Macaca mulatta: one gene and its partners. The protein of the gene in region 2 interacts with the protein of the main gene of each other region in a biochemical or structural test. Links are inferred from orthologs where the notes say so. Each region holds a gene or a part of one and is shown on either strand. Other genes may lie near its edges.

The links.
Region 1: of the proteins of STAT3 (region 2) and MAPK8, one has a biochemical effect on the other in vitro, tested with the Homo sapiens proteins (2 studies listed by BioGRID). The link is inferred for Macaca mulatta from reciprocal best matches to the Homo sapiens genes STAT3 and MAPK8.
Region 3: of the proteins of STAT3 (region 2) and PTPN1, one has a biochemical effect on the other in vitro, tested with the Homo sapiens proteins (2 studies listed by BioGRID and IntAct). The link is inferred for Macaca mulatta from reciprocal best matches to the Homo sapiens genes STAT3 and PTPN1.

The regions. Positions count from the first base shown.
Region 1 is NC_133414.1:60,853,032-60,856,968, forward strand, and holds the start of MAPK8 (mitogen-activated protein kinase 8), read right to left. Parts: upstream 2,801-3,937; 5' UTR 2,657-2,800; intron 1,387-2,656; exon of another isoform or gene 1,193-1,386; intron 1-1,192. UniProt on the Homo sapiens protein: Serine/threonine-protein kinase involved in various processes such as cell proliferation, differentiation, migration, transformation and programmed cell death.
Region 2 is NC_133421.1:66,739,584-66,743,687, reverse strand, and holds the start of STAT3 (signal transducer and activator of transcription 3), read left to right. Parts: upstream 1-1,304; 5' UTR 1,305-1,471; exon of another isoform or gene 1,472-4,104. UniProt on the Homo sapiens protein: Signal transducer and transcription activator that mediates cellular responses to interleukins, KITLG/SCF, LEP and other growth factors. Once activated, recruits coactivators, such as NCOA1 or MED1, to the promoter region of the target gene.
Region 3 is NC_133415.1:103,366,147-103,370,074, forward strand, and holds the start of PTPN1 (tyrosine-protein phosphatase non-receptor type 1), read left to right. Parts: upstream 1-1,128; 5' UTR 1,129-1,263; coding exon 1,264-1,326; intron 1,327-3,928. UniProt on the Homo sapiens protein: Tyrosine-protein phosphatase which acts as a regulator of endoplasmic reticulum unfolded protein response. Mediates dephosphorylation of EIF2AK3/PERK; inactivating the protein kinase activity of EIF2AK3/PERK.

The DNA.
Region 1 (3,937 bases), on a different chromosome or scaffold from region 2:
AGGATATAGTTTCCTATTCTGCCAGGACAGGACACTTAAAAGGAGCCCTTTTCATACTTATTAAAGGAATATATTTACTAACAGAATCGATGCTATATCTCTTACTTTAAAGCATAATTTGAAGTGAAATTCAGAGTGACTGCTAATGAATATGGTGTTTCTTCTTGGGGTGATGACAATGTTCTGGAATTGGTGATGGTGATCAATGCACAACATTGTGAATATACTAAAAACCACTGAAATATATACACTCTAACAGGTGAATTTCATGTCAATTAAATTTCAATAAAGCTATTTTTAAAAACCAATAATTTGGAAAACAAAATAACACAACTCTGGTTCTTTACATAGGCTGACTGTGAGCTACTGCCAAAGGATTGTCAGTAACCCCTACTAGAAGCTGACATACCTTAACTAGGTAAAGCAATAAAACGTTGGTATCTCAAAGGTTTTCATCCCTCATCTTAAAAAAGTATCATTTTCTTATTTCTTCATTTCCACTTTACACCAAATAATAAGAAGCTCATTAATTAGTTCACTCTTTTCGTATTCTTTCAAATCCAAAACAAACGCTAAACTGTTCAGGGAGTGGAAAAGAGCTTTAACTTGGATAAATGAATTATTTTGAGTTTTAGGATCATATTTTGTACCAATGTGTTAACACAAGTTAGAACTTAAAACCAAACATTTCAAGTAAACATTTCCAAAATATTAGAAATATTTCTAATAAAACATTTATGTGGCTTTGTCCTCAATTTTTCACAAAATGAGTCACCAAAAACCTTTCAAATAATATTCACAAAATTATAAATGCAATCATTTTAGACCCCTACTGAAATACCAGTTTATGTGTGCCTGTGTGTGCATTACGTACATACACACACAGACACACATAAACTAGTACATACACAGAAACACACACCCCACAACCTACTTTAGTTTATTAATCATATTAAAAAAACATTTAGACAAGATTTTATTTTAGGACAGTGAATGACCTACACGTGATTCAAAAGCCCATGTCATCATAACAGATAATGTACATGAACTGATCATTTAGCCATCTGAAGCGACAGTTGCATGAAGCTTCCAAAACTTTATGGAGAACATTACAGTTTTTTTTAAGGCTTGAATTTAAATATTATCAATTACAAAGAGCTTTTCATCAATCCGACTTTTATTGAACACTTACTATATTCCAGGCTAGGTGGTGGAGAAACAGATGCAAGACAGGCCTGCCCTCAAGGAAGTCCCATTTTGATTGCTTGCTTTTGTCAGGCACAGCACTAAACATGTTCACTTAGAGCATCTGACCTCCTAGGTTTAACGTTAACCACAGCAGGGGAATCTGAGGTAACCATTACAAATGACTGTAAGGCTGCAAGACTGGAAAAAATAAAATTTAGAAATAAACAAAAGCTGTTGTATATTTAGACCAAATCTAATTCTACTTCCTAACATTACACTTGAACTTCCAGATATACTGCTTAAAAAATGACCCAGAACATAACCATACCTTCCTTAACAGACATCTCTTATGTAATTCTCTCATTTAAAGGTCCATCTATTATACTTCAGTCAAAGCATCCTCTTCCATGAAAGGATACCTTCCTTTACCTTCAAACCAAACCTCTTCATCTGGGTACGGTACCGAACAGTTGTTGAATGAATGAATGAATGAAAAAACATGTTCTAATTGCCAAAGAGGTATTTGCTGGATGCCTATCTCAAAACACAATGGACTGACGGACCAGAATTCTACTGGACAGATCGCTGAATTTCAGAGGTAAAAACGGTAATCACTGGACAATGCCATGTAGTTAACATGTTATTAAATTCGCAATAAAGACCAGGCGGGGAACTTTCAGAAATAAAAACGGAAAGTGTTCATCAGGGTACTTTAAAATGGACTTGGTTCTACCATCTCTGAATCCGGAACACAAATGTGAGACAAAGAGATGGGAGGGTGGGGTGAAAAAGTCAAAAGGTCACCACCGAGTGACCCTCAAGAGAAATGTGCGCTGACCACCGAAGCTCGGGCCAAGCTGGATGGACACCTCCCACCCGAACCACGGGCCTGGGCTGTGCCTCGCAGCCCAGAGCTGCAGGCCATCCCGGCCCTTTTCAGCGCTGCTGCCTGCCTTCGCCCAGAACCTGAGCACAAAGAAACCACCGAGAAGCAAAATACGGTCCCCATGGGCGCGGGGCAGGCTTGGGGACCCGCTGGTAGAAGCCCTCTTCCCGGCTCCTCGCCGCCCCGGAGGCAGCCAGGGTGCGGCGGGCCGCGGAGACGCCTCTGTCCGACCCTTGCCGAAGTGTTTCAGAACTTGCCACCCACCCCCCCGCTATTTTCTTCTCCCGCCGCGGAGGCAGGACCCGCGCGAAGAGGACGCGAGAGGACAGGCGGGCGGGGCTCGCCGCGGCGGGCGGGCTGGCGGGTAGCAGAGCGCGCCCAGGTCCCGCAGCCCCACGCCCCCTTGGCCGGCCCCCGCCTCTGCGCCGCTATTGTTCCCGCGCCGCCCCCGCCCGCCGCGCGCTCCCGCCCCCACTCCCGGGAGGGGGTTACGGCTGAGGAGAAGGCGGCGGCAGCGGCACAATAACATAAACACGACGGGGCCGCCTGCCGCCCAGGCCCTGCGGCATCCGCCGCACTCACCCGGCAGCGCAGCGAACGGCGACAGGGAAGCCCGCCAGCGGGGACAGGGGCGGTCCGAGCGGTCGCCGCGGCCGTTACCCAGGTCTGCTCGCCGCTCCGCGATCCTAGCCGCGTCGTCCAGCCTCGGCCGCTCCGCTGAGTAACAGGGACGCGGGCCGTCACCGCGCACGCCCGCCCACGTCATCGCGCAGGGCGCCGCCCCCGCGCCTCCCGAGTGGCCTGCGGGGCGGGGCAGCCCCGGGGCCCGGATTGCGGGGGCGGGGCCGCTGGCCGGGGGCGGGGCTACTCCACGGGGCTGAGAGAACTTGCGGAGGTCGCCTGGAGGCGGAGCCGCGGAGAGAGCCTCCGAGGGCAGTGGGTGAGGGGCGTGGCCAGGAGCGGGAGGGGCGGGCCCTGTGGTGGCACGTGGCGGCGCGTGGCCCCAGGGGACTGCATCTGGTTGGCGGCGGTAGCCAGGTCGGAGCTTAAGGCTTCGGGCCTCGTCACCACAGGGTTTGAAGGGCAGGTGAGCTTAGGCCAAACTTGCGCAGCGAACAGACACCCCTTCCTGGTACACACCTGAGTGATGAAGAGCTGGTTACCTTGACCGACAGTACGTTCCATGCTGAGGACACCTGTCCGGATCCCAGCAACCTACAGAGAGATAAGTGTTCTCTTCAGCTGCCCCGGTAAAGCTTCCTCCAGTTTTTCCAAAATCCACTTCCTCCGAGATTCCTTGCAAATCCACCTCTTCCCAGATTCCTTGCATTACCTGGTTTACCTCTGAGGCCCCACAAAACGTGTAAATGTTACAGAAGCGATAAATTGACAAGCCTTTAAATATCCAACAACAGGTGGAAAGGCGTTTAAGTTACCTACATCCATGCAGTAGAATACATTTTAGCAATTTAAACGCCATGTGTTCAAGGAATTCTTAACAACACAGGAAAATGTTAACAATATATCATTAAGAGAAAGAAGCAAGAAACAAGTCTTATATATAGAACGATCCCACTTAGTTACTATATATACACATAGAAAAAACCTGGAAAGAAATACACCAAATTATGTTAGCAATGGTTCGTCATTGGACTATGGAATAAAGGGTGACTTGGTTCTCTTTTATACTTTGGGTATTTTCTCATGTTTTCCAAGAGGAATAGTTATGTTCACAATCGGAAACAAGTAAGTTACTTTAATAAAGAATATATAAATATTTGTTGAATGAATGAATGATTTCAGGTAGACTACTTTCCTATTACATGTGGGGCTGGCCTCTTTCTGGTGATTCTAAAAGCGAAC
Region 2 (4,104 bases):
ATTTTTCTCACTACAAATTAATAAGAATAGCTATCCCTGGGGAGAAGGAATGATGGGGGTAGGGAAAGATTTTCATTTAAAATTTTTTACCTTTCTGAACGGTCTGCATTTTCTAAACAGGAACATGTATTAGTTTCATTGAAAAAAAAAATGTCAGGGGTTATCTGAGCAGTGAGATAATGGGTCCTTTATAGATTTTTGTCTTTATACCGGTTCGTATTAAACAAACACAAATATTAATAACATATTTTTAAAGACCCTAAAAAAATAAAAATTAAAAACCCTGATAGTATCAGCACATACACAGAAATCACTCCATTATGCAAAATTCATCCTCTATTATGAAAGGCAAAATGTCTACATTTCCTATGAACCACTGGCTTCAATTCAGCAAAACTTGCATACCAAGTAGGCAAGGTGGAAACGAAAAAGGCGGAACATTTCATGTATTTCAATTCAGACGCATAAAAATGTCAAGCCCTACACGTATCAACTTTCGTATACACCGTCTTCTGCATTCGCCTGTACCGGCCAATGGGCTAGCTGCTCGGAGTTTGATGCTTGAAGTGATGGAACGGAGGACGGGGTTAAATCTACTATTTCTCCCCACGCACTCTAGTATTTACTCTATTTCCACGTCATGTTTCCGGGTGTGTGTGTCCCTGTTCACGCAGAAACTGAAGTTCAAAGCAGGCGGAGTCACTCATGTTCTTTTTGTTGTCCCCAGAACCCAATTCAGGTGTTGGGTCCCCAGAGGATCTGGAGATACCTGGGGACTGTCTAACTGGCTGATTCCCACGTGGTAAGAGGCTCTCAATCTCGCCACCACGTGGTGCCAAGGGCCGGGAAAAGGGAGAGCGGACAGGAGGGAGCTGTATCAGGGGCATTTAAAGTGCCTTGACGTCACGCACTGCCAGGAACTCAGCTGAGTTTTCAGCAGGACATTCCGGTCATCTTCCCTCCCTCCCCCCGGGCTTCTGTGCCCAAGTCCTCGGCTCTTCCCTCGCTGTGGCGGAGGGAGGAGCACCGAACTGTCGGAACAGCCAGCACAGGGGCGTATCAGTCTTCTCTTGGCTCCGCCCTTTCTCCTAGCTGCTCTCTTCATTGGTCAGTGGGCGGGGCTTTGTCGGTACCGCACACGCACTGGGACCTCTGGGTGGCCGAGCGAAATGGCCGTTCATGAATTATGCATGACGGCGTGCCCCGGCCAGGCTGGGGCTGGGCGGGGATTGGCTGAAGGGGCTGTAATTCAGCGGTTTCCGGAGCTGCGGCGGCGTAGACCGGGAGGGGGAGCCGGGGGTTCCGACGTAGCAGCCGAGGGAACAAGCCCCAACCGGATCCTGGACAGGCACCCCGGCTCGGCGCTGTCTCTCCCCCTCGGCTCGGATAAGCCCTCCGGCCTGAGGGAGCCCCGTCGCCCGCCCCCGGCGCACGCGCAGCCCCGGCCTCTCGGCCTCTGCTGGAGAAACAGGTGAAGGGGGTGCAGGGTGGGGCCGTCGGGGAGGCCTGGGGACCTGGGGGCGCCGCCGCGGTTGGGGGCCTCTGGGACCTTGGGGATTTTGTGATGGACGCTGCAGTGGGGCGGGGAGAGATGAGGAGACGCGGAGGGTCGCCCTGAGGGAAGACTCTTCGGGATGACAGGAGCGGGCCTCGGAAGGGACTCGGGGCGCTGGAGGGAAGTTTCGTTCTTCGGAGAAACAGTGAGAACGCGCCCGAGGGGGCACCGTGGGGCGAGGGCGCACTCGGCTGCGGCGGCAGGAGTGAGGGACAGTCCCCCGATTTCCTGCTCCCTGGAGCCCTGGGGACGTTCCGGCCGCCGGAGCGACTGTCACGCCGGCGGGGATCACCGGCGCGGGTGGGGGTCGGAAAGCGCCTCCTCCCCGCCTGGCCGGCGGCTCCCTCTGAGCCACTTCCTCCGCTTGCCCTGTTCCCGCTTCTTCAGGAGCCAGCTGTGCCCTTCTGGAGGCAGGAATAGGTGTGTCTGTCCCCTGCAGCCTCACGGGCTGGCTGGTCGCGGGTAGGCTTTATTGCATAAGAATCAAGTTTCCTGTAGGGAAATTGACAGACCGGTACTCTTTCTAAATTCCCTCCCATCTTTTTCTAGGTTAAACTATGCTCCCCTCACGCCCCCGCCATGTAAAAAAGAGGGGAAAAAAAGACAAAATCCCCGTCAACCCGTCAAGCCAGCTCTAGAGAGAGAAATAAATCTCTTGGCAATGTTCTTTTCCAAATACCTGGTAAAGTCGGCCAGAAGATAAATAATTGAGCCATTGCGTTTACTGGATTGTGGTGTTGCTTAATTGCATAGGACGGAATGAACCAATCGAGAGTGGGAGTTCTGTGTCTCAGAGCCAAGATCTTGGGTAAATGCAGAGGAGAGGGAAACAAAGACAGGCTGGCCTTGACAAAACCATGTGTGCTAAGTTTACCTGCATTTAGGGGGGTGTGGTTGCACTGAAGTTAACAAGATTCAAACCGTCGCCCAAGTTGGTATTTCCATGTTTGATACACATCACCCTGTGCCATATCAGGTCGTTGTAAGTGTGGTGACAAAATCAGTGGTTAGTCATTGTTTTTTGTTAAAAATGTGTATAGTGTGTACCTGCTGGTCTTACTGTATGTGCAACTAAAGGTTTACGTAGTCTGTGCATGGGTTGTAAATTTTTGGCTGGCTGTGCTGATAAAGCATTGGGCTTGAATAAAGCAAAGCAGAAAATCATCTCAATCTTTTATATGTGGATTTAGACTGTGCTATGACTTGATTCAGCCAGTTTTCTATTTTATTTTATATTAAATATGTCTGTGTTCTCTGAGTCAGCACATTTATTTCCTTATTACATGTTCCAGACGGGAGTGCTAGCCCAGTTTTTGTTCAGTTTGCACAGTGGGATGGGGAAACAAGTCTGGAATTAAAAAAAAAAAATGTTTTAGAGGTTGGAGCCTTGATTTTAGTCTCTGTATTAGCACATCCATCACAAAGAACCATTAGTAAATTCATGAATCTTTTGTTTTTTATGTAGTTCATTTGGGAAGAATAATCACTTAAAAATATCCACAGTGCCAGGCATGGTGGTGCACACCTCTGATCCCAGTTACTTGAAAGCTGAGGCCGGAGGATTCCTTGAGTCCAGGAGTTGAGTCTGGTCTGGGCAACATGGTGAGAGGCCAGGAATTGGGTCTAGAGTCTAGTCTAGGCAACATAATGAGAACCCGTCTCTAAGAAAGAAAGGAAAGGAAAAGAGGAAGAAAGGAAAGAAAAAGAAATACCCACAGCACAGTTATGAATTGACCCACAAAGGACTTGTGAGGTAGGTAGTTCACATAACAATTCCTCTAATATTGTAGATAAGAAAATTGAGGCCAAAGGATCAAGACACTTGCCCAAGGCGGCAGAGTGCCATAGTGGTGGAATTTGTGCCGCCTTCTGTATATTTTGTGAAAAGTATCAGTGAAATTCTTTTTTTTTTTTTTTTTGAGACGGAGTCTTGCTCTGTTGCCTAGGCTGGAGTGCAGTGGCGCAATCTTGGCTCACTGTAACCTCTGCCTCCTGGGTTCAAGTGATTCTCCTGCCTCAGCCTCCCAAGTAGCTGGGACTACAGTTGCGCACCACCACGCCCGGCTAATTTTTGTATTTTTAGTAGAGACCAGGGTTTTACCATATTGGCTAGGCTGGTCTTGAACTCCTGACCTCGTGAGCCGCCCGCCTCTGTCTCCCGAAGTGCTAGGATTACAGGTGTGAGCCACCGCACCCAGTATCAGTGAAATTCTAACATATATCTGAACAGTAAAATACCACCAACAGGCTGAAAGACTTTATGGGAGGTAAATATTCAATAAACACGTGAAAAAAGAAATACAAATGGAGCTTGCTTAGATTATTTTTCTACCTAATTGCTATGTCTAACTTGGGAAGTGAGGAACTGTTTTTGGTCAGCATAATTTACCATCAGAATTCAGCTATTTACTAATGAAAAGAAATACTAATCGTGGTTTGTTTTAGATTAAGGACAGTCATGACCTAAATGTCATTTAAACCAGAGTGCATTGTGGCTTGATCAGTGGTCATTTCTGTCTCTAGAAAGTTGCTTTAACCACCCTGCCTCT
Region 3 (3,928 bases), on a different chromosome or scaffold from region 2:
CACGCCCGGTTACTTTTTTTTTTTTTTTTTTTTGGTAGAAACCGGGTTTCACCATGTTGGTCAGGCTGGTCTGGGACTCCTGACCTCAGCTGATCCACCTACCTCGGCCTCCCAAAGTGTTAGGATTACAGGTGTGAGCCACCGCACCCAGCCCTTTTTTTTTTTTTTTCAAGACAGGGTCTCGCTCTGTCACCCAAGGTGGAGTGCAGTGGCGCCAAAACAGCTCACTGCAGCTTCCACCTTCTGGGCTCAGGTGATCATCCTGCCTCAGTCCCCAGCAGCTGGGCCCCACCACACCGGCTAATTTTTTAACTTTTAGTAGTGACGAGTTCTCATTATGTTACCCAGGCTGGTCTGGAACTCCTGGCCTCAAGGCATCCGCCTGCCTCTGCCTCCCAAAGTGCTGGGATTACAGACATAAGCCACCGCGCCTGGGCTCCTATGATTTTTATTTAACATAACGCACCGTGGAATTTGTGCTCTGCTTAGTTCAGTCTGAGCAGGAGTTCCTTGATACTCTGGGAAACACTTAAAATCCTTCCATCCCTATCCATTCATTCCTGCATCACCCAAGTGGAAATTCTGCGTTTCAGACAGGGACACTACCCTTAGAGAGTAGTGGGTTCCCCAGCAGCGTGGTGAAACATGACACTGAGTTTCATGAAAAGAGGGCAGACATCTGGCCAGAGCTGGGAGGCAGGAAATAGAGCACGGTGCCCTCCGCCCATACTCCAGCTTGGATTACCGAGGCCGGGGCCCAGGCCCTGCAGGAAAGGAGGTGCATGACTACTTTAAGGCCACTCACTCTGTGACTCAACGGGCCGGGCGGAGGCTGGAACTCAAGGCCCTCCCGGGCCTGGAGAGCCCACGCGCCGTGGGCAGGGCTCCCGGGGTCGCCTAAGCAACGGGCGCGCGCCACGCCCGAGCCCAAAGCCCCGGAGCGGAGGAGGGAGCGCGCGCAATTAGATATCTCGCGGTGCTGGGGCCACTTCCCCTAGCACCTCCCCCGGCTCCTCCCCGCGGAAGTGCTTGTCGACATTTTCGATCGCTGATTGGTCCTTCTGCTCGGGGGCGGAGCCCCTGGCAGGCGCGGTGCGTAGTTCCGGCTGCCGGTTGACATGAAGAAGCCGCGGCGGCTAGGGCGGCGGTAGCGGCAGGAGTCGGTGCTTGCTGCGGACCTCAGGGCCAAGAGCGCGACGCGGCCTAGAGCGGCGGACTGCGCAGTGGGCCGAGAAGGAGGCGCAGCAGCCGCCCTGGCCCGTCATGGAGATGGAAAAGGAGTTCGAGCAGATCGACAAGTCCGGGAGCTGGGCGGCCATTTACCAGGTGCGGGAGCGCCCCGGAGCGTGGCGGGCCCTTCGCTTAGGCCGCTTGAACATCCCCTCAGACCCCCAGGCTCCAGACTCCCTCTGGGTCTTGCCCTCTGCCTCGCTCCTCCTGCTTGAGGATTCGATGGGACAGCGACGCACTGCGTCCCCCTCCCCTTTTGTCCCCGGGGTGGGCCCGTTTCTCGCCGCAGCCTCGGAGCCCCCTTCGATCCCCCACCTCCCTCCTGTTCTGCAGCCCGGGTGATCTCTCAAGCCGGGGATCGCCTGTCTGTGCTCAACGCGAATCCCTCGCACCCCGACCCCGCCCCCTGCCTGTCCACTCTTTGTCCCCTGGGGTGATTTAGCACCCCCACTGTTTCCTTTTCTGGACTGGACCACCTCAGACTCTCTTCCTTTGTCTCCCTGGGGAAAAAGGTTACTCCCCCCCTCCCTCCTTCACATTTCCTTTTCCCTAGTCTCAGTGTGCGTCGAGTCCCAGGGATGACTGTCCCCTTCCCCCTTTCTGTTCATTCATTTATTGGATAGGAGTTGGCGAGCTTATTCTGTGCTAGGCACCGCTTAGGCATTGGAGATGGTGTTTGCTAAACAGGACAGGCAAGATGCTAGCCTTAGTGGAGCGTAGAGTGGAATAGGGCAATCAAACACAAAAGCAAATAATTTCAGATAGAGACAAGTGCTGTGAAGAGAACGAATTCCTAACGGGGTACAGGGTGACTGCATAGAAAGCCGGCTACCTTAGAGAAGGGGATCAGGGAAGGCCTGTCAAAGGAAGAGACATTTGCTTTGTGAGCTGAACCAAAAGGAGCAGAAAACCATGATAATATGGGGCTAAAGAACCTTCTAGCCAGGAGGCCTGCGGTACCCACTCCATTGGGGCCATGATATTATCCTTTCAGGCAGGGAATCAGGAAGGTTAACGTTTTAACCCTCTCTAAAGTAGCATCTTTCCTCAGTGAGCAGCTTAGTCTTTGGTCATGGCAGAGATGACCTTGTCTTAGGAGTCTTCATCTCCTTGTGTGTTAAAAAGTTAGGAAAGTAGGATTTCTCATAGATCTGTAAAACAAATAGTTAAAAACACAAAGAGCTCTTCCTTTCACAAGCAGCTAAATCCTCTGAAGAAAATACATACTCCCAATTAAATGTCATTGCGGGGGTTGTGAAGATATACTAAAACCACACTTGCACAGTATCTTAAGCGATATACAGAATAGAGAGATTTTGTTACTTGTGTAAAGGGAGACGGCAGTTGATTCTGGTTTCAGCTTATAGGCTCAAAAGGCAAATTGTGAGATCCATCAGCTGTAGTATTAAAATCTATTTTGAGCACTGCTTAGAAAGGAAAAAAGGTTTAAGCAGTTCTTTGGTATGCTTGACTAACAAAAGCCTTTTTTTGGCAGCCTTGATTTTCATGTGGATTTACATCAAGCTTATTTGACAGGACTCTTTTTATTTGAACTGTAGTGTGTATATTAGTTTCTGCTAGACTAATATTTCTAACCACTGTAATCTATATACTAATAAGTATGATTGATCAGTATATAAAATTTGTATGCCATATCTGGTCTCTGAATTAGTTGAATGAATTCCACAAGTGACTTTGAGAATGTGTAGACAAATTTTCTGCATCAGTTTAATGCAGTAGAGTCTAAAGTGCCTTTAAATGAAAATTGTTGATCTGAAGTGTTGGAGTTGATTATGATACATCCCATCACAGTGGAAGCATTGTGGAGAAGTCTTTCCACTGAAACTGACTGAGTTGACAACAAGAAATACGTATTGTAACTTAGTTCTTAGTTGAATTTTATTTCTTACAATTTAAAGCCAGAGTGGGCTGACCTGTCACCCAAGCATTGTTAAAACTGTATTAAGCATGCAACTAGCATGGAGTGTGTCAGTCTTCAATTCATTTCCTTCATTGTTCATAAGTTTTTCTGCCATAAGTAAACTCCACAAGTTAGTCAAGGTGTTGAGATTTTCACTGTTTCTTAATGGATTGCCACATTCCCGGAGGTAGTTTCTTTTGGTCTTGGAGAATTGTCACGGAGGGCTTTTCTCACCTCCACTGTATGGGTATTTTTCTTTTCTAGAATCTTGAAATCAGAAGCTTTTCTCCTTTCTAAGTGTAAAAGTAACTCTTTGTCATACAACTGTAGGGTTTTCTGAAACAGAGTTCAAATGACCTTGAGTCTAAAGTGGCTGACTTTCCAAGGTGTGTATCAGTTTACCAAAACCATTATTTTTCAGGGATTCAAAGAAATGTGTTTACAATTGATAGAAAATGGAAGTTTAAAAAATTAATATTTTATAGATGTCGAAATGAGGGCAGCCTTATACAAAGTCATACTTTGAGCTTGCCTAGCCTATTGTGATTAGAGAAATAATGTAATTTTTGCTTACAACTTGGTAAACAGGTCAGTTATTCTAACTTATTTTCTAATTAGAACAAAAAGATGTAAAAACTTGAAAACTATTGGGGAAAGAATCAAGAGTGAAGAGGACTTTTGAGTGCTGAGGAATGTGGTGGCTTAGAAAACAAATTTTCAGGCAGAGATTCTTTGCTAGGTCAATTTGATAAAGTGAGCATAACCGTATTTTTAATG